3 linked regions of the Danio rerio genome follow. The protein of the gene in region 1 purifies or fractionates together with the protein of each later gene. This does not show direct contact. Links are inferred from orthologs where the notes say so. Each region holds a gene or a part of one and is shown in the gene's direction. Other genes may lie near its edges.

The links.
Region 2: the proteins of sod1 (region 1) and hspe1 purify together in Homo sapiens (affinity purification with mass spectrometry; 3 studies listed by BioGRID, with this or other methods). This does not show direct contact. The link is inferred for Danio rerio from reciprocal best matches to the Homo sapiens genes SOD1 and HSPE1.
Region 3: the proteins of sod1 (region 1) and park7 purify together in Homo sapiens (affinity purification with mass spectrometry; 4 studies listed by BioGRID and IntAct, with this or other methods). This does not show direct contact. The link is inferred for Danio rerio from reciprocal best matches to the Homo sapiens genes SOD1 and PARK7.

Annotation. Positions count from the first base shown.
Region 1 is NC_133185.1:30,630,363-30,635,476, reverse strand, and holds the end of sod1 (superoxide dismutase [Cu-Zn]), read left to right. Parts: intron 1-336; coding exon 337-406; intron 407-2,509; coding exon 2,510-2,627; intron 2,628-2,715; coding exon 2,716-2,823; 3' UTR 2,824-3,038; downstream 3,039-5,114. UniProt on the Homo sapiens protein: Destroys radicals which are normally produced within the cells and which are toxic to biological systems.
Region 2 is NC_133184.1:33,978,033-33,984,807, forward strand, and holds the start of hspe1 (10 kDa heat shock protein, mitochondrial), read left to right. Parts: upstream 1-3,126; 5' UTR 3,127-3,179; intron 3,180-3,234; exon of another isoform or gene 3,235-3,363; intron 3,364-3,565; 5' UTR 3,566-3,745; coding exon 3,746-3,748; intron 3,749-5,452; coding exon 5,453-5,611; intron 5,612-5,694; coding exon 5,695-5,784; intron 5,785-6,489; coding exon 6,490-6,540; 3' UTR 6,541-6,775. UniProt on the Homo sapiens protein: Co-chaperonin implicated in mitochondrial protein import and macromolecular assembly. Together with Hsp60, facilitates the correct folding of imported proteins.
Region 3 is NC_133186.1:43,777,257-43,783,968, forward strand, and holds the start of park7 (Parkinson disease protein 7 homolog), read left to right. Parts: upstream 1-3,063; 5' UTR 3,064-3,121; coding exon 3,122-3,211; intron 3,212-4,583; coding exon 4,584-4,685; intron 4,686-6,712. UniProt on the Homo sapiens protein: Multifunctional protein with controversial molecular function which plays an important role in cell protection against oxidative stress and cell death acting as oxidative stress sensor and redox-sensitive chaperone and protease.

The DNA of each region.
Region 1 (5,114 bases):
TGTTTTTCAACCACGTTCCAGGAGGATCATCAGTTCTGCATATTTTCCATGTCTCCTTAACCAAACACACCTGATTCAGATCATCAGCTCCAGGAACATGGTTGAGAAACACTGCATTAAAGTACAAGTTCATCCCATCAGGACCAATAACCTTGACCTAAAACCATTAGACTCCATTTTTTACCTGGTTCTGAATCCAAAGTGAAGGAGTAAACAGCTCTGAAAAGTTTTTAAATTCTCCACTTACATACTTTCATAGTGTAAGCACTTAATGCGTTTAAAGGGCCACAAATCACACTTGTGCTATTTTTATTTATTTTTTGCTCTTGATCACAGGCTGCATCAGTGCAGGTCCGCACTTCAACCCTCATGACAAAACTCATGGTGGGCCAACCGATAGTGTGAGGTGAGTTTATCAGTGTGCTCTGATACATCTGTTTTGCATGATTTACAGTATCTATATATAGTAAAATGCTAATATTTATTGTCTGTACGGATTGTCACTGAAAGCAGAAACTCTACTTGCCCTCAAAGTTGTCCCATTTACTTAAATCCTGTTTGTTTAAAAGTTGATCTGCATTTGTCGCATGGGCCTGTATCTCAATTTAGGCATGTGTGGTGTCAGAAGACAGAACATCGAATACAGGGTTTCCGCAGGGTCTTAAAGTCTCAAACTTAAAAATCGAAATTTTAGGCCTTAAAAAAATCTTTAATTTGCTGTTCTAGGTCTTAAATATTTTTGCACCGGTCTTATTTTTCCCATGTCCATGTAACACTACATCTAATGCTCATTTAAATTATTTTTTGTTGTTGCTTGGTTTTTGTGGTGTTGTAGTTGTTTATTTCAATAGTCCAAATGTGGTATAAAATGCGGTATAAAAACTACAAATGAGACCAACATGCAACAGCCAATCAGCCTACTGTTATTGAACTCAATAACGAACTGTTATCACGCAGCGAATGTGATGTCATGGCATGCGTCATGCGCGCGACGTGTTTTCGGCTGGTGGAGCGCACAGGATTATTTGAGACTCGGGTGAACAGTTCGCACAGCGTTTGATTTGAGTTGAATAAGAATCCCTTTGTAGAGATTTTGTCTGAAACGAGTATACGACTTTACAGACACCATTATGATCTGTCCATGCGTGATAGTGGAGAACCAGATGACAAATAATTCTTAGCCAGATTGCAACAGCTGTGGGAAAAGATGAAAGCTTTTGTTAAAGTTTGAAAAAAACATGAGGGATAAGTTTAAGCCAAAAGTGGTCATGGCAAAAGTGAACCAGGTACACAATTACAGAATATGTTTTTTGTAAGTGTACTTTTTTTTGCTTTTATACATTAATTGGCAGAACTGTTCGAGACATGAACAAAAGCAAGTGATGCATCAAAGTTTGATTTTAAAAAAATCTTGAATGGTTATAAAAATCTTTATAATCATTTTAATAAATCATAAAAAATAAGTTTAAAAATCTTGAACGATATTAATGATATGACGTAGTTCCTGAAACTTCCTATTTCTCTGTTTATGCGTCTGACTTTACGGTGGCTTTCTTTTCATTGCCCCTGTCGTTTTAAAGAGCCTCGTCCATTTGAGGTGCCCTCGCAGTCAGCGAAGGTGCGTGATGCAGCACCAGGCGACAGCATAAGATGTTTGTTTGTTTTTTTTTCCTATAGTTCAATGATGCATCTAACCTGTCTTCAGTACTGTTCAATTTGAATACATTTGTTTTACCACAAATTTTGCGTTTTCTCTTTATGCGTATGCATGTTTTTGGTATTGTGATATAGGTCTTAAATGTAATACTTAATGGCCTTAAAGTCTTTAAAAGTCTTGAATTTGACACTATGATATCTGCAAAAATCCTGCAATAGCATTTTATGATTTTCTTTTTTATTTTTTGTCAAAAGAGGAACTTAAAAAAAAAAAAAACATGGCTACCCAATTGAAAAATGAAAATGAAAATTTTTAAATGAAGTGTAAATAGCATTACACATATTAATTGGCAATAAACAAAAAGCTATAAATAAATAGAATATAAATAATACCGTCCCGTGGGCAGCGAGAATCGCCAACAAAGAAGTCCTAGTGTGCATCAAGCCAAAGACCTCGCCGGAGGCCAAGATCACCAAACAGAAATTATCCTATTCTATCCTTCCCCATGTCATGCGTAGCAATTCACTCAAGAAGGCAGTCTTGCTGGGAATGGTCAGTGAAAGTAGGAGGAAAGGCTGCCCAAGAACTTGTTGGCTCGATACTGTCAAATCTTATACCAACATGAGCATGCGCTAACTCAAAGAAGCGGTGACTATTAGAACTGTGTGAAGGGAATAATGCATAGAATGACTGAAAATCGCCTTCGATTACACAGATAATTGATTGATTTAAATAATGAAGTAATGAAAGATTTGTTGTTTTATTGCATGCACATTAGGAATACAGTATGTGTTCAGTGTGATGTCTTGGTTTAGTAGATGTTTTATTACTGTAATGTACTGTCTCTCTTAGACACGTCGGAGACCTGGGTAATGTGACCGCTGATGCCAGTGGTGTTGCAAAAATTGAAATCGAGGATGCAATGCTGACTCTGTCAGGCCAACATTCTATTATTGGGAGGACCATGGTGGTAAGGAAGACATCATTTATAAAAAGCGGCACATTAAATGACAATAACTGTGCAATAACAGCCGACCTCTTGTGTCTTCCTGCTGTAGATTCATGAGAAGGAGGATGACTTGGGGAAGGGTGGCAATGAGGAAAGTCTTAAAACTGGCAACGCTGGTGGTCGTCTGGCCTGTGGAGTGATCGGCATCACTCAGTGAATCTGCTCTAATGGAAGAGCCGGTTGAAATATTGGTGACCAATGTGGATGCCTCTGAAAGCACTTAGCCCGCTGACAATTACATCTCTATTTTTGTTAGGTAACGTTGAAAGAATTGTACTTTAGCCTTGTTAAGCTGTTTTTCTGTGCATTTCTATGTGGGCAACCTTTTATTTGTTATCTGCTTAATTCATTAAACATTGAGCAGACTGGAAATGTGGATGTGTGTGTCTTTTATGAACTACATTTAATAAAATTGTGCAAGTCCATTATTAGAATGAATGCTAATCAGTGTTTATTTGTAATTTAAAATTACAATTTTATTGCTAAAATTACTAAAATTGTAGCATAAAAATATATAATAGCATAAAATAATATTAAAATAGCAGGTTTTTTTTCTGGGATAATTGATTAATTTGCAATCCAGCCACTTTATTAGGTAAACCTTGCTAGTACTAGACTTAATGACCTTTGGCATTTGAAACTAGTACCTGACAGGGATATTCACCCAAAACTGAAAATTGTCATCATTTACTCGCTTTTAACAAGTTCCAAATCTGTCTTTTTTTCTGTTGACCACAAAAGAAGATATTTTGAAGAAAGCTGGAAACATTGACTTCCACAGTATTCAGGGGTTCCTTCTTTCAAAATAACCTCTTTAGTGTTCAGCAGAAGAAAGACTCTTAAACATCTGTAACCACTTGAGGGGGAGTAAATGATTGCGTGAACTATCCCTTAATTCTTTGAGGCAGAGGTTTAACATGATGTTAGAAACATTCATTCAGGATTTTGGTCCATGTTGACATGATGGCATCATGTAGTTGGTATATATTTGTCAGCTGCACTTCCATGATGCAATCACCCATTCCACTGCATCCCAAAGGTGCTCTGGATTGAGATCTGTTTACTGCAGTGGCTAATTTGACTATAGTGAATTCACTGTCAAGAAACTTGTTTAATTGTTTGATTTAAGCTTTTTGACATGCCTCGTTCACCTGCTAGAAGTCGCATCGCTAGGTACACTGTGCAAGGACAGCCAGAAAAAAGGTGCCAAAAATTCATCATATCTTTACAGCACCATCATGCAGCAGCCCAGTCTTCAATTACAAAGCAGGATTGATCTTTACGTGCATGTTTACACTAATTTCTATTCACATCCTGTAGCAGAAATGAAGACTCGTCAGACCAGGCAACCATTTCCCAATCTTCAACTGCTCGTTTAGTGAAGGCATGTGAACTGTAGCCTCAGTTTACTGTTTTTATGACAAGGTGTAAAGTTATTGTTTCTTTTTTTATTTTCTTTCTGTTGAACAAAATATATTTTGAAGAATGTTGAAAACCGGTAACCATTGAGTTCTTTCTTACTATCAGGGCCGTTTATATCGAAGTTCATATTTAGCTGCACCATGTTGGTGTTTCATAACATCAAATTTTTACAAAGTCGGTTGTTAGCTCAATGCTCAATCCCCAACCCGGAAGATCAAGACACACCCAGCAAGTATTTTTTATTTGTAAAAGATGCCTAATAGATGTCTAAACATGGTAGTCTTGGCTAAAACAAGGCTTAATTTGTGCTATCAGTAAAAAATCTAATAGACGTCTAAAGAATAGGTCAAAACCAAATAAATCAAACAAACAGAAATGAATGACTACACTTATTAAATCTGTCGATTTGATAGTCTTTTTTGGCTAGATGTCTATATAGATTTTCTCTGACAGCTCGAATTTACCCTTGTTTTAGCCAGGCTGTCTACGTTTAGATGTCATTAAGACGTCTATAAACACAAAATTGTTTGCTGGGTACACGCATACACTACTGAAAATTTAGATTCCCCAATTCACCCATAGCGCATGTCTTTTGACTGGTGGGGGAAACTGGAGCAACCATTGACTTCTATAATAGGAAAAACAAATACTGTTGAAGTAGATTCCAATATTTTCTTAACTTGTGTTCAACAGGGGAAAAAAGAATCTCAAATAGGTTTGTGACAAGTGAAGGGTGAGTAAACGATGGCAGAATTTCATTTTTGGGTGAACTTTCAATGTATTTAAGTAGCAACCTTGTTATTGGCTGACACACATGCAGTAACGAGAATTCCAAGTAAAGCAGCCATTTACGGTATTTTTGTGTCCCAAACACGTCCTAAAACATATATATATATATATATATATATATATATATATATATTTATTTATATTTACTTATTTATTTATTTATGTATTATTATTATTGTTATTTATTTTTTTTTTTTTACAAATGTTTAATACTGTATAAACACGATTCAAAAAAGC
Region 2 (6,775 bases), on another chromosome or scaffold:
TATTATTGTTGTTGTTGTTGTTGTTTTTATTACTGTTTTATCCTAAAATGTTGATTGTTAAAATGTACAGTTTATTCTGATCAATTATGTTTATAATTGAATTGTATAAATAATATGATATATTGAATAACATGATATATTAAATATATTGTATTTTATTTGAATATTATATGTTTTTTTTTGCTTTACTACTATATATTGTGTGTACTGTTTTTTTATTATACATGTATGTTACTTTATGTAAACTTTTTATTCAATACATTTGTAACATTTGTCATGCCAATAAAGCAATTATTGAAATTAATTTAGAGAAAGGCATAAAATTACAAAATGAATTCAATTAATTTAAAACAAAGTGTTTCAGAATCATTCAGAGGCCCTTGTTTATTTGTAATTTACAGGATAAACAGCATTTAATTTATAAAATAAATAACAAAAAAATGGAATATAATAAAAATTTGCTCATATCTGGTCATTTCTCAGTAAATATGCACAAAATATCCAATGATTTTACACTATTTACAGCCAGCCACACTTGGCTTTAGGGCTGTGCGATTTGGGGAAAATAGCTAATTGCGATTTTTCTGACAGATATTGCTATTGGATTTACGAATAATTTTGTAGTCGAGCTCAATATTCTAAGTTGTGGCAACAATTCTGCAACAGCTCTTAAAAATGACCTGTTTTTGACTTTGAAAACAAAATATTCCCAGTGCTGTTTTTCTTTGGTATTAATTTGTCGATTAATGCTTCTGAAGCAGCCGACACCATCATCCCACTTATCAGCGCTTTCCGGTTTGGTTTCTCTTTTTTATTGTGGCTGTAGTTCGGTTGCAAAATTCTGATTGAGCAGAACAAAAGTGTGCTCACTCAATTGGCTGGTAAGACTGTCACACACAGCCATCAGTCGCTCATGTGCTCTGGGTGGGGGAAATTAAACAATATATACATTTCATATTGCAGCCTCTTGCGAATAACTAATCACAACGTTTTAAATTGGGATACGAGTTTGATTAATCTCACAGCTCTACTTGGCTTCATCAACACTATAGGCGATTTTGAATGATAAAAATATTATAATACACATACTCATAAAAACTTTTTGGTCCATTTAAAAAAAGAAAAAAAAAAACGCACATTATAATATATACACATTTATTTTCTATTTAGTATTAGGCTACAATATTATTTTGTTCCTCCTACTAATAATATACTATTACAATTACTATAATAATTTAATTATGATATTTACACATTCAAATGTTATTAGTTAGAACTTGCAATTATCTAAATGTTATTTATTATATTTGTTTTTTAAATTACTTATTTGAATCTCACAAATGTTCATCTTCATTTAATAATTAGATGGTATACATTTTCTTTTAAAAAATGCTTATAGTAATAATTTGTAATTTATTAATTAAATTTTTATTATTATTATTATTATTAGTTAATTTATTATTTTGTTTGGCTAATATTTTACAATAAAATCTGCATGAATGACCCCTTTCCCCAGTTTGAGAACCTCTGATTTAATCAATGACGTGGCCCCGCCCAAAACTGACAAACATTGGTTGAAGCAGGCAGAAATCCTTTACTGATTGGCTGATAGTAGCCAACAAATCGAAGAATCAGTTTCTTAAAAGATCCTAGTGTGATTTTTCATTACAATTTCGGTGTTCGGTTAGGCATAGAGTACATTTAATGCATGGCAGTCACACACAGAAAAAAATATCTGAACAAGGATAATATCTGAACAATCCCTAACCAGCAAGGGAAAAAAAGCCTTGTGTCGAGGTCACATGATACGGATGCCAAAAATTTGTCTTTGCACTCGCCGCCCCCTCCAATGCTTTACACTGGCCATTCATTCATTTTTTAAGCTAATTCTCCTCTTATTTGGTGTCCAAAATGTCAGCACCTCCCCTTAAAACATGTTCTGGAATATACGATATCATCACTTCATGGATCACATGGACACTTACAACAATGTTTCGTAAAATCAGAGTACCATGCATTTAAAAAAATGTTTAATATAACATTAGACTAACATTTTCAGTGTAATGTTATTTTGTATTTAATGTAAATACTAATGTTTAAACAATCGTGTCTTGTAAAGCCTGTAGTGAGTCCCTCTACTACCCCACGTGTGTTCAGGGCGTCACAAGGTCAAAATCACTCCGCGTCACGACACAGACGGAAATGATGCCTTTCATCTCCATGAGTTCACGTTATAAAGTTCCCTGGATATTCCTTTTGTTTAATCAAAATCAACCATAGTAGATTTTACACCGCTTAAATATTCCAAACATAAAAATATTTAATATTCGTAGGCCTCAATATAGCATAACTTGCAATAGTCAACTGAACACCTATAACCACTATTATACTGTCTTAAATTGCTTATAAAGCAACAGCTAAATTAAACACATGCATTACAGTTGTCAGCATAAGTGCATAACGTTATAATATGCAAAACACCCTGCTTACTATAAAGCCGGCTATTCTAATGGCTGCATCTGTCATCAAGGATAAATGTTAAAAAAAAATTAACTAATTGACAAGTCGTTCGACAAGAAACATGCACGATGCTACTTTATAACTCTGAGAAACAACGTGACAGTGTGTTACATGATTAACTTACATGCTACGATACGTCCCTGCCTGTTTGAGCTCACTGATTTCAATTATCTTTATATCAGCTTGGCATTAAAGAGCATTAAGCAATATATTGTGTTTATAGGCTTTTATGGATGAGGATAATGCTGAGTGACTTACTGCAGAGTGATCTGGAGGTGAATGAAGGGATGCGCGTGTCCGTCAGCGGAGCAGGCTGAATGATATAAGAGGAGCCGCTTTAGAGCCGCTGCAGTTCCACTCGACGCACATGTGTTCTTCATCCGGGTAACCTCCCCCGCAGCCCTGACATCTGCATAACTCAATACTCTCACATTCTATGTATGCGTTATGCTTTTTTTAAAACATACGCTTTCAGCAACTTTTGTCTCAATAATAATTGACGTATTTTGACGACAGTGGGAGAAAATGTGAACAAAATGTATCATTAATATCTATTAAATCGGTGTTATGCTCGTTCCGGGGCTTTAAGTTCGAGAAATTTCGCAGATTCTATTGGAGAAAAATAGACGTCAGAGGTCAAGATTGTGCAACCAGAAATGGTATTGCGTTTTGCAAATTTCGTTGTTTTTTTTGTTAAAGGTCTAATATTATAACCTTTTCTTATAGATTATCTACATATTAAGTCAATATATGTGTATTTATATTATATAATTACAATACTTTATTATTAATAATATTAGTATTATGTAGAAAGCTCAAGATAGCTTTTAAAAATGCATTTGAGTTGAGTTATTTGTCAATTTTATCTTTTAAAAATAAAAATCATCTATATTAAATGTGTTTGAATAACGTGAAATTTTGTACTGAAGCAGCACATGTATTATTCATTTAAATATTGTGCAAGTTATAAATGCTGTAACAATCAGATAAAAATTTCTCCTTTGTTACGAAACAACAAAAAAAGAGTCAAATGTCTTTATGTAAGGTTTGGGAGATCGAGGAATATTCTAGATTGCAGGTCTGGGGTCGGTAGGGATTGTCTTGTGGCGCATGCGCAGTGCCCTTCCAGACATTTCTTCTTCACGTGGATCGCAGGAGTGAAGTGGTCCAGTGTGACGGTCTCTTGCTGCTCTGTCGGACGCGGTTTTCTTAAAGATCAGCTAAAATGGTAAGACGCGTAAGATAATTAATCCAACTACTCCGTCTGAATGAGATGTTACTATGTTGTGTTGAATTGTTTCGCGTGATGTTTTATAACTCCCCATCAACTGCGACTGCAAGGTCACGGTTAGTAATGCAGTCGTGCCCAGATTCAATGTGTAAAAATGATTTGATGCTGAAGTTGTTAGTTAATATGGGCACGTGAAGTGTGGGTGAAAGGTTGGTTTATGTCAATAAGGTTCAGAGCTAACCCGATGTATTTAATGAATAATTTTGCTAACAGCTGGTTTATACACCAGCGTAACATTTTGGTATAACGTTAACGTTAGATGTGTAAATGGGGTTTTAATAGTGTTAATGTTACACGATAAAAAAAATGCACCTGACATTTTGTGTTATAAATACTTAACGTGTTAAGAGTGTTTTTCTTGTATATCCGTCACACATTGTGTAAAATTGACTTAATTTTCGTTATAATAACTTAATAATTCACGTTGTGGAAACACTCAGGCTCAAAGATCAGTACAGCCAATAGTGTTTCAGCTAGACATGAACTTCCGGGTCATTTTGAATAGAGGCGAACGCATGTGCATTATGATGGACACTGCTGTAACTACTTTGTATTTTATTGAGACAGATATATATTTTTAAATGCAGGGTAATGCTTTTATTTGTGCATATTTAAGAGAAAGTTTACCCAAAAATGAAATGTACTTTTACTCAGTCCTGAAGAGGTTCTATATCTTTGAGCGTTTTTTTCTGTTAAAAAGATAAGATATTTAGAAAAATGTTGGAAACCGGTAGCCGTTAACATCCATTAAAAATATATATATAAAAGTAAGTCAATAACTACCGGTTTCCAATAGCATGCTAAGTGATGTGCGTATTTTATTTTCTACTAGATAGTAATCGAGTCATTTGTGCCACGACTTGTGAGTTATAAATTTGCCTTGTAGTTTGCGGCCAGGTGAAACTGATTTACTCTAGAATCTTCTACACGCTTGTCTGTTCTGCCTTCAGGGTTCAGGGTTTATCATGTTGCCTGTCCTTTTGTCCTTCAGCAGTATGGTAAACATTTACAAAACCTCCAAAACTTTTTCCTCCCCCACACTAACCCTCAACATCTCCTGTCCCATCAACCCTCCCTCACACACGACCTTCTCCCAAGGTCACACACATCTGTTCTCAGAAAAGCAGCAGCTGTTGTCTTTGTAACGGTATGATACAGAGTGTTTGATGGTCAGCACTTTTCTGGAGTCAGCCTAAAACTTATCTTTGAAAGAATGCAAACCAAAGATTTAGTTACAACTGAAATCAAAAATCAGTTGTTCTTTATTATGGGACTCCAGTTTATTTTAAAATCATGAATGAACACTTTTGGTCATGGAATAATCATTTAGCAAAAGCCGCAGACGAAAATGAAGACAAATCTAAAGGGATAGTTCACGAAAAAACTCTAGAAAATTCTGTTATATTTACCTTTAACTCTCAGTTTGTCTTTTGTTGAACAGAAAATAAGTTATTTAGAAAAATGCTGAAAACCTGTAACCTTTGGTTATTTCTACCATGAAAGTCAATGGTTACTGATAAAAACTGTTGGGGTTTTTTGTGTGACGCCCCCTTGTGTGTGTTTTTTTCCCTTTTCAAGTGTTGCGAAACTGTATCGACTATTTCTCCACTGCACTAAGCATGATTTTTTTTTCCTTTCTAGCAGGCTTTCCGGAAGTTTCTCCCCATGTTTGACCGTGTGTTGGTAGAGCGGCTCGCTGCAGAGACCGTGTCAAGAGGAGGCATCATGATTCCAGAAAAGTCTCAAGCCAAAGTGCTGCAGGCTACCGTGGTAGCAGTGGGTCCAGGATCCACAAACAAGGTAATTTTTATTTATTTAAAATTTTATTTACATTTTTCATTACAGTGTGTGAAATCAGAGTTTTAATTATTTCTGTTTTTCAGGATGGGAAAGTAATACCTGTCTGTGTCAAAGTTGGGGATAAAGTTTTGTTGCCGGAGTACGGAGGAACTAAAGTTATGCTTGAAGATAAGGTTTGAACATTTGCCGTTTATTGACTCTTACTTTTTATCCATTTAGAACAGAGATGCCCAAACTAGGGGCCCATGGGCCAAAGTTGGCCCATACTAACCTTTGTTTTGGCCCCTCATCCCATCTGAGAAAAGAGGGAGAATGATGGGGATGATTTAGAGATTGTCAATTAAAATTTAATTTAACCCTTTGTTTGTTTTATTGTTAAAAGCTAACTGAAATTAAATGATGCAAATTAATCAGATTTTAATTAAATACTGGCACTCGACAATGCAGAGACTTTGATGAGCAAATTAACCTGTGTATTCAGCATTGTACTCCACTGTGTTATAAATGTAATTGTTTGTTTTTATTGCTATATGTTATCATTTTAAAAGTTATACTGCATTAGTTAATACAATTAAGTAATATTTTCTATTTATTTTGAAATATTATGAAATAAATTAGAAAATGACCCATGGCAACTTGAATGTAAAATAGTTTGGTTTGTTTACCTTTGGCCCATGGCTATCAAGAATATTTGCTTTTTGGTCCTTCATGTGAAACCTTTTTAAGCACCCCTGATTTCTGAGGTTTGAGTTTTTTTTTTTTTTTTCTTACAGAAACCAAATGTATTTGCATCCAAAATAACGAAATTGAAATGTAATCTATTTTATAATGATTGTTTGATTTATAAACTGCTATTCTTCTTTTATTTTCTTTTGTAGGACTATTTCCTTTTCCGGGATGCAGATATTCTTGGCAAATACGTAGATTGAAGTCAGCTTGTCCAGCCATCTGTGTCATTCTAAAGTGCATAGAATGAAAGATTGTTCCATGTTTGTTTTCATTTTTCTATGTCATTTGATTGTAAATAAGTATGATCATGTTTTGTTAAAATAAAGTGATCTTGATGTTTCATCTCACTTTTTGAGGTTAACAGTTTTGAAATTGAACATGTGACCGCTGAAACGTATACCAACTGTATAAACTGGGAAGTGATATACATCTTAA
Region 3 (6,712 bases), on another chromosome or scaffold:
GGGGTAGATGTAAATACAATGTAATGAATGGGTTATTTAATAAATCATATAAATAATCCTTGTTATAATTACTGTTTTTACATTACTGTAAGCGGTAAGTTTAAGGTTGGAGTAGGGGCAGATGTTAATACAATATAATTATTGGGGAATTTAATAAATAATATAAATAATCCTTGTCATGATTACTGTTTTTACATTACTGTAAGGTAAGTTTGGGGTTGGGCTAGGGGGAGACGTTAATACATTACAATGAATGGGTAATTTAATAATTAATACACTATCAGAAATAAAGGTATGCGAGCGGTCACTATACAAATTTGTACCATAAAGGTCCATATAAATACCTCAAAGGTACATATTAGTACCTAAAAAGTACAAAAGTGTGCCTCTTAAGATTTTTAGGTGCTTGAATGAATATGAATATGGACCCTTTAAGTACAAATGTGTACCTTTTAAAAAAGGTACCACCCCAGTGACAGCTCGTGTACCTTTATTTCTGAGAGTGTATAAATAATCCTTGTTATAATTACTGTTTTTACATTACAGTTAGACATAATTTTAGGATTGGGGTAGGGGTAGATGTAAATACGATGTAATGACTGGGTTATTTAATAAATAATGTAAACAATCCTTGTTATAATTAATGTTTTTACATTACAAGCGGTAAGTTTAAGGTTGGATTAGGGGTAGATGTTAATACAATATAATTATTGGGGAATTTAATAAATAATATAAATAACCCTTGTTATAATCACTGTTTTTACATTACTGTAAGCGGTCATTTTAGGGTTAGGGTGGGGTAGACGTTAATACAATACAATTAATGGGTAATTTAATAAATCATATGAAAAATGCTGTGTATACCTTTACCTTACTGGGATGGATGGGTTAAGGGTTGGGGTAGGGGTAGATGTTAATAAACGGATAATTTACAGCCCCAAATCAGAAAAAAGTTTGGACAATTCACATCATTATTTAATCAATTTACCTGATCACTAGCCCTAAATTGCTCTGGTCCCAAGTTTTGCTGCATTGTGCTGCAGGTGAATGACAGTAAAGGATGTATATTTACAAATGAAATAATGTTGACCAGACAAATCACGAAATATTTTGTGTTTATATTGTCTCCAATAAAATACAAGTCAAAGTAAATATAGTAATCCCTATTGTCTTATTTTATTTGTGTTTTCCGTACTGTTTCAACTTTTTCTGATTTGAGGTTGTAATAAATAGCATAATTGTCGTTAACTACTGGCCGCAGCTCTAAGGTTGTCCATTGCTGCAGTCCAATTTGTTATTGGGATACATCCACAGCAGGAAGTTAACAATAATTTCTATACGGTCTACACGGTAGCTCAGAGGTTAGCACGATGACCTCTTGACAAGAAGGTCACTGGTTCGAGTCCCGGCTGGATAAGTTGGCATTTCTATATGGAGTTTGCATGTTCTCCCCGTGTTGGTGTGGGTTTCCACTGGGTGTTTTGGTTTTCCCCACAGTCCAAACACATACGCTATAGAAGAATTGAATAAACTAAACTGGCCGTTGTGTATGACTATGAGTGTGTATGGGTGTTTCCCAGTACCGGAAGGGCATCATGGATACGAAAAGGAAGTCAATTTGCCCAAGAGTGTATTGTTTAAGGTTTTGAAAAATTACAATGACACATATGACACATTTGACACATATTCCCAAAATATGTGTCAAAATAAGAGTTGTCACCAAAAATTATTCCATTTACTGAAACAAAGATGTGGCCAAATTAAGACTCAAAATCAGCCCTGAGTGGATGAAAACAACAACATTCATGATTTTAAAAAGTGTTGTGCACAAATTGATTTTATTAAAATGATTTCTGAAGGATCTATGACAATATGAATAGTTTTTCTGGAGTAGCATTTTTATTTGTTCGTAAATGTTAATTCCTTCATCTTTCAAATTGTTCTTTATCTGGATTGAAATGAACACGTTCATCCTAAAATGCATTTGAAATGACGATAAAATTGTCTTCAGAGGCAAATTTACTGTTACTAATACATGATGGCGAAGATGAGGCCGTTTCAAGCCCATCAACAAGCAAGTGCATCTGAAAAAAAGGTCTCCAGCGTCCTCTAGTGGCCGAAGATCTGCATTTCTTTAAAATGGCCTGCATTTTCTTTACAGTGAAATTGTTCAGAATTAAAAACTATTTTTATTTTATTTTCATTCATTAATTTTCTTATCGACTTAGTCCCTTTATTAACTGGGAAACACCCACACACTCTTGTATTTACACACATTCACAAAGGACAATTTAGTCTATTACATATAGCGCATGTGTTTGGACTGTGCAACATGCAAACCCACACAGGAATGCCAACTGACCCAACTCGAGCCGGCGACTTTCTTGCTGTGAGGCGATTATGCAACGATTGACGCCCCTTTATTTTATTTTATTTTATTTTATTTTATTTTATTTTATTTTATTTTATTTTATTTTATTTTATTTTATTTTATTTTATATAGTCAGTGCAGGTCAAAAAAACTGCATGTTTTTTAATGTCTAAGTAAATATCCAAAATATTAATTTAAGTGTTTTATCAACTCTATTTATTATTTTGTGTCTGTAGATTTCAGTTGAAATACATATTTCGATTGACTTATTAAAATAAATTAAAGCAACATAAAATATTTGTTGTCTTGAATTTTTGTCATATTTTAGTGTAGAAGTTACAATGTACTGTTACAAACAGTGACACATTAATTTTATTTGGAATAAGAACGTTACGAGGGATTAAAATTAATAGCATATTAAGCACAACATAAACACTCCACTAAATAAACAAATTAAAATTTAAGAAAAAAATATACCCAAGTTTGACGTGGAATCAATCTCCGTTTACAGATGATTCAGTAATCAAAATAAAATCTGTTATCTTTTAATGCCTTTTTTTTCTTTGAAAAAAGAAAAAAAAAGAAAAACAACAACAAACGACCATAGAATAGCTCCTTACAAGAAGAAAACTTTTATTTTGCCTGGTAGTTCCCCATAACCCACCTACTCCCGGAAACGCCTTCCATAATAAAAGTACATGAGTGAGGTTGCATTGCAGACACGCACAGGTTATTAGACGCACGGTTATTATGGCCGGTAAAAGAGCGTTAGTGATTCTTGCGAAAGGAGCGGAGGAGATGGAGACTGTAATCCCGGTGGATGTGATGCGCAGAGCGGGGGTCTGTAGACACAAAACATTTAACTCGTGCAAATGTGTTGCCAAATGTCAATAACGTGTGTCAGTGATGTCTGTATGCAGCTGGTATGCTAATGTGTGTTGGTATTCTTAACATGCATGCATGCATTAATTAACGTTAGTGCAGTGAAGTGAAGATAATAAAGTTGTACTGTATGAATATTGCTTGTGTGCAGCGTTATGGTGGTCAGTTACTGCTGCCAGTGTGTAAATGCCAAAGTTTGCCTCTCTACAGGACACATTACATAATCACTGATTCTATGTCTTGGTCAATTTTGAGAGAAAGTTGATACTTTCATTGGTCAAATATGGCTTTAATAAATAAATAATTATATTGTTGAGCTTTTGTGCATTACATTTAGGAAAGAATCTTGAAAAACAGTCCTGTCACAGTTCTGAATTTTATGCTTCTTGGCACATAAAAAGCTGTGATTTAATTAGGATTTAAGTTTCTTTTCATTTTTTAAATATGTTTTTTTTTGTTTTAAGAAATTATTTTAATTTTCTATATTACTTTACGCACAATTAAATAGGCCACTGATTTTCCTTAATGCTATGAAATTATTATAAAGAATTGGATTTTCATCAAAACTTTATAGTGGTTATTTCAAATAATTGTGATTTAGATCAAATGACCACAGATAATTAATCAATATTTCATCAATATCATGCAGTCTTTAAGTGAATAATAGGAAAAATCATAGCATTTAAATGCATCAACAGTATATATCATCATTAGGCCCACACAGAATCTGCTGATTTTTAAGCCATCATTCAGTTTATTTATTTACTTGTGTAAATGTGTTAAATAAATATATATTTAATCAGTTTTAATATTAATTTCAGTATTATCATAGAATAAGTTGCCAATGCTTAGATAATTTATGTGCAATACAATTTGTACGCTAATATTTTCTGTCTATTAGAGGATGTGTGATATAAAAGTCGTACTTTAGCTTTCTTATACAATGCTAGTGGGTCCAATTTTGCATTTGAATTGTAAACCTTAAATAACAATTAAGAAGTTATTTTTTATTTTATGTTGTTTTTAGCCCCTATACTCTCAAAATCACTTTTCATAAATAAATAAATTAAATAATAATAAAAAAACAGAGTATTAATTTAATCTTTTTTTTTTTTTTTTTTTTGCTTAATTTTGTGCAGAAATACAGAAAAAACATTTAAGAAATCTTTCTGTCTGGCTCTGGCCATCATTACTATAGTGAAATACTATAGTATTTCACTGGAATATAGCAATTTGGTTTCTAGTCATAAATTATGTCTCATGCATGTTACATTTAATTTACAAATTCAATAAATATCAATAAGCAGAGTGTTTTGTCCCTTTCTCGTAGATCGCTGTTACTGTCGCAGGTCTGGCAGGTAAAGAGCCGGTTCAGTGCAGCCGTGAGGTCATGATCTGCCCAGACTCCAGCCTGGAGGACGCACACAAACAGGTCTGACTTTACATATTATAAGTACCTGCTTATCTAAATTTTACAATTTAGTGTAACTCTTAAGTAGTTCTGCACAATACTGGGAAAATATGCAATATTTTGTTGTTGAGTGTTGCGATCATGATATTTCTTACGATATAACTAACTTTAAAAAAAAGTATACACCTTCTTTAAAAAAATAATTTATTTATGTAATATTTAAACTAAAATAAACAGGTACTAGATATTTTTCTGAGCTAATTAAATCTCAAAATAAATAAATGATAGGGGTATTCGATTTTAAATCAAAATCAATCGAAACTTATGCTCAATTTCGATTATCGAATCAAAAAATAGAATCGTCGATGCTGCCACGCCCCCATGTCACGTCAGGCCCGTTGCAAATCCGCTCGCAAAAGTACACCACCAAAGGTTGATCTCTAGAGGTATCTGTCCTGGGTCATTCTTTGTCCTTGGCGTAACCCGTCTTTGTGATGTCTGCCTCGAGGTCACGTCACCAGGTATATCTTGGAAGGCCTCTCTTCCGCTTTCCTTTGCGGTTTCATCTAAGAGCTTATCTGGTGATCATCACAGGTTGGACTCAGCATGCACACAGAGAAGACCAAGATTCTTAAGATCAACTACAACAATCCATTAACTCTGAAGGAGGTACAGTCTTTTACTTACCTGGGCAGTGTCATCGACCAGCATGGTGGAACAGATACTGACATTAAGGGCCTACTTACACTATGCCATCCGTACCGTGCCCAGGCCCGTTTCCTGGATTGTTTGAGAAGTGTGAGTGCACTGAATCGGACTCAAGCACGGTTCACTTGGCCGCCCCTGGCCTGGTTGGAAGAGGTGGGCCTGAGCGCGGTTCACTTGGGCTCAAAAACTGAAAGCGAGACGTGACTTTTAAAGGGCTCATATGGATTTATTAATCATTCTTACTGTTCAGTGAACGCAAACTGCCGTAGTTTATTAAAGACGAGAACTCCTCACTGCATGACAGCTGCGCTCCTTCAGCAGACCTCCTCATTCCTGCAGCACGAGAGCTTTATGATTGTTTATAAGCGCCAAAAGTGACGGATCTGTTCGGCAAAATATCTGACTGCGTGTCACCGCATCCCTAAGGACTGTGTGGTGAAATATTTGACTGCATGTCACTGCATAACAAACGACTGACACAATATATAACTAGAGTTGTTGTACAGGTTTGAAATTTAAAGGTTAACCAAAACTACTACCAGAAGAACCTATACATTCATCAACACTTGTCTCACAAAGACTCTATACATTCACAGGCCTGTCATGATCTGTAACACCAACCTATGGGGAGGGACCCATATATATTTATATATTTTTAAATGTATATAAATATATATATATATATATATATATATATATATATATATATATATATATATATATATATATATATATATATATATATATATATTGAATAATCATAATTATAATTATGACCAAAATAAGCATTATTATAATTTTTCATATAATCGAGCAGCCCTACCTACTCCTGCTTTCATCTCTGAACTGATTTGGATTTAAAGAACGTTGAAAGTAAATAAATGGAGTATTGTCTCCATCTTCTGGCCAAGCAATGCATTGCCAATAAAATAAGCACTACTGCTTTACCACTGAAATTCATTAGGTATTCTTGCTTTATTAAAGGATCTTAATTTTAAATAAGAAAACCCTTACAATATTCATGAGACTCATATACATATGCAAAATGTCAAATATTCTGTGGGAGTTCAGTTTAAATTGAGTTGCTTTCATTTAATAAAACAAGAATTCCTAATGAAATCAATGGTAAACAGTATTTCTGCATATGCATAATATAAACAAAGCAAATGTTCATGATTGTTTTCTTCCTTGTTTATATACACATGCAGAATGTCAAATATTCTGAGGGAGTTCAGTTTTAATTGAGTTGCTTTCATTTAATAAAACAATATTTCCTAATGAATTTCAATGGTAAATAAGTATTCTAATCAGTATGTAACCAATATGGTTTTATGTCAGTT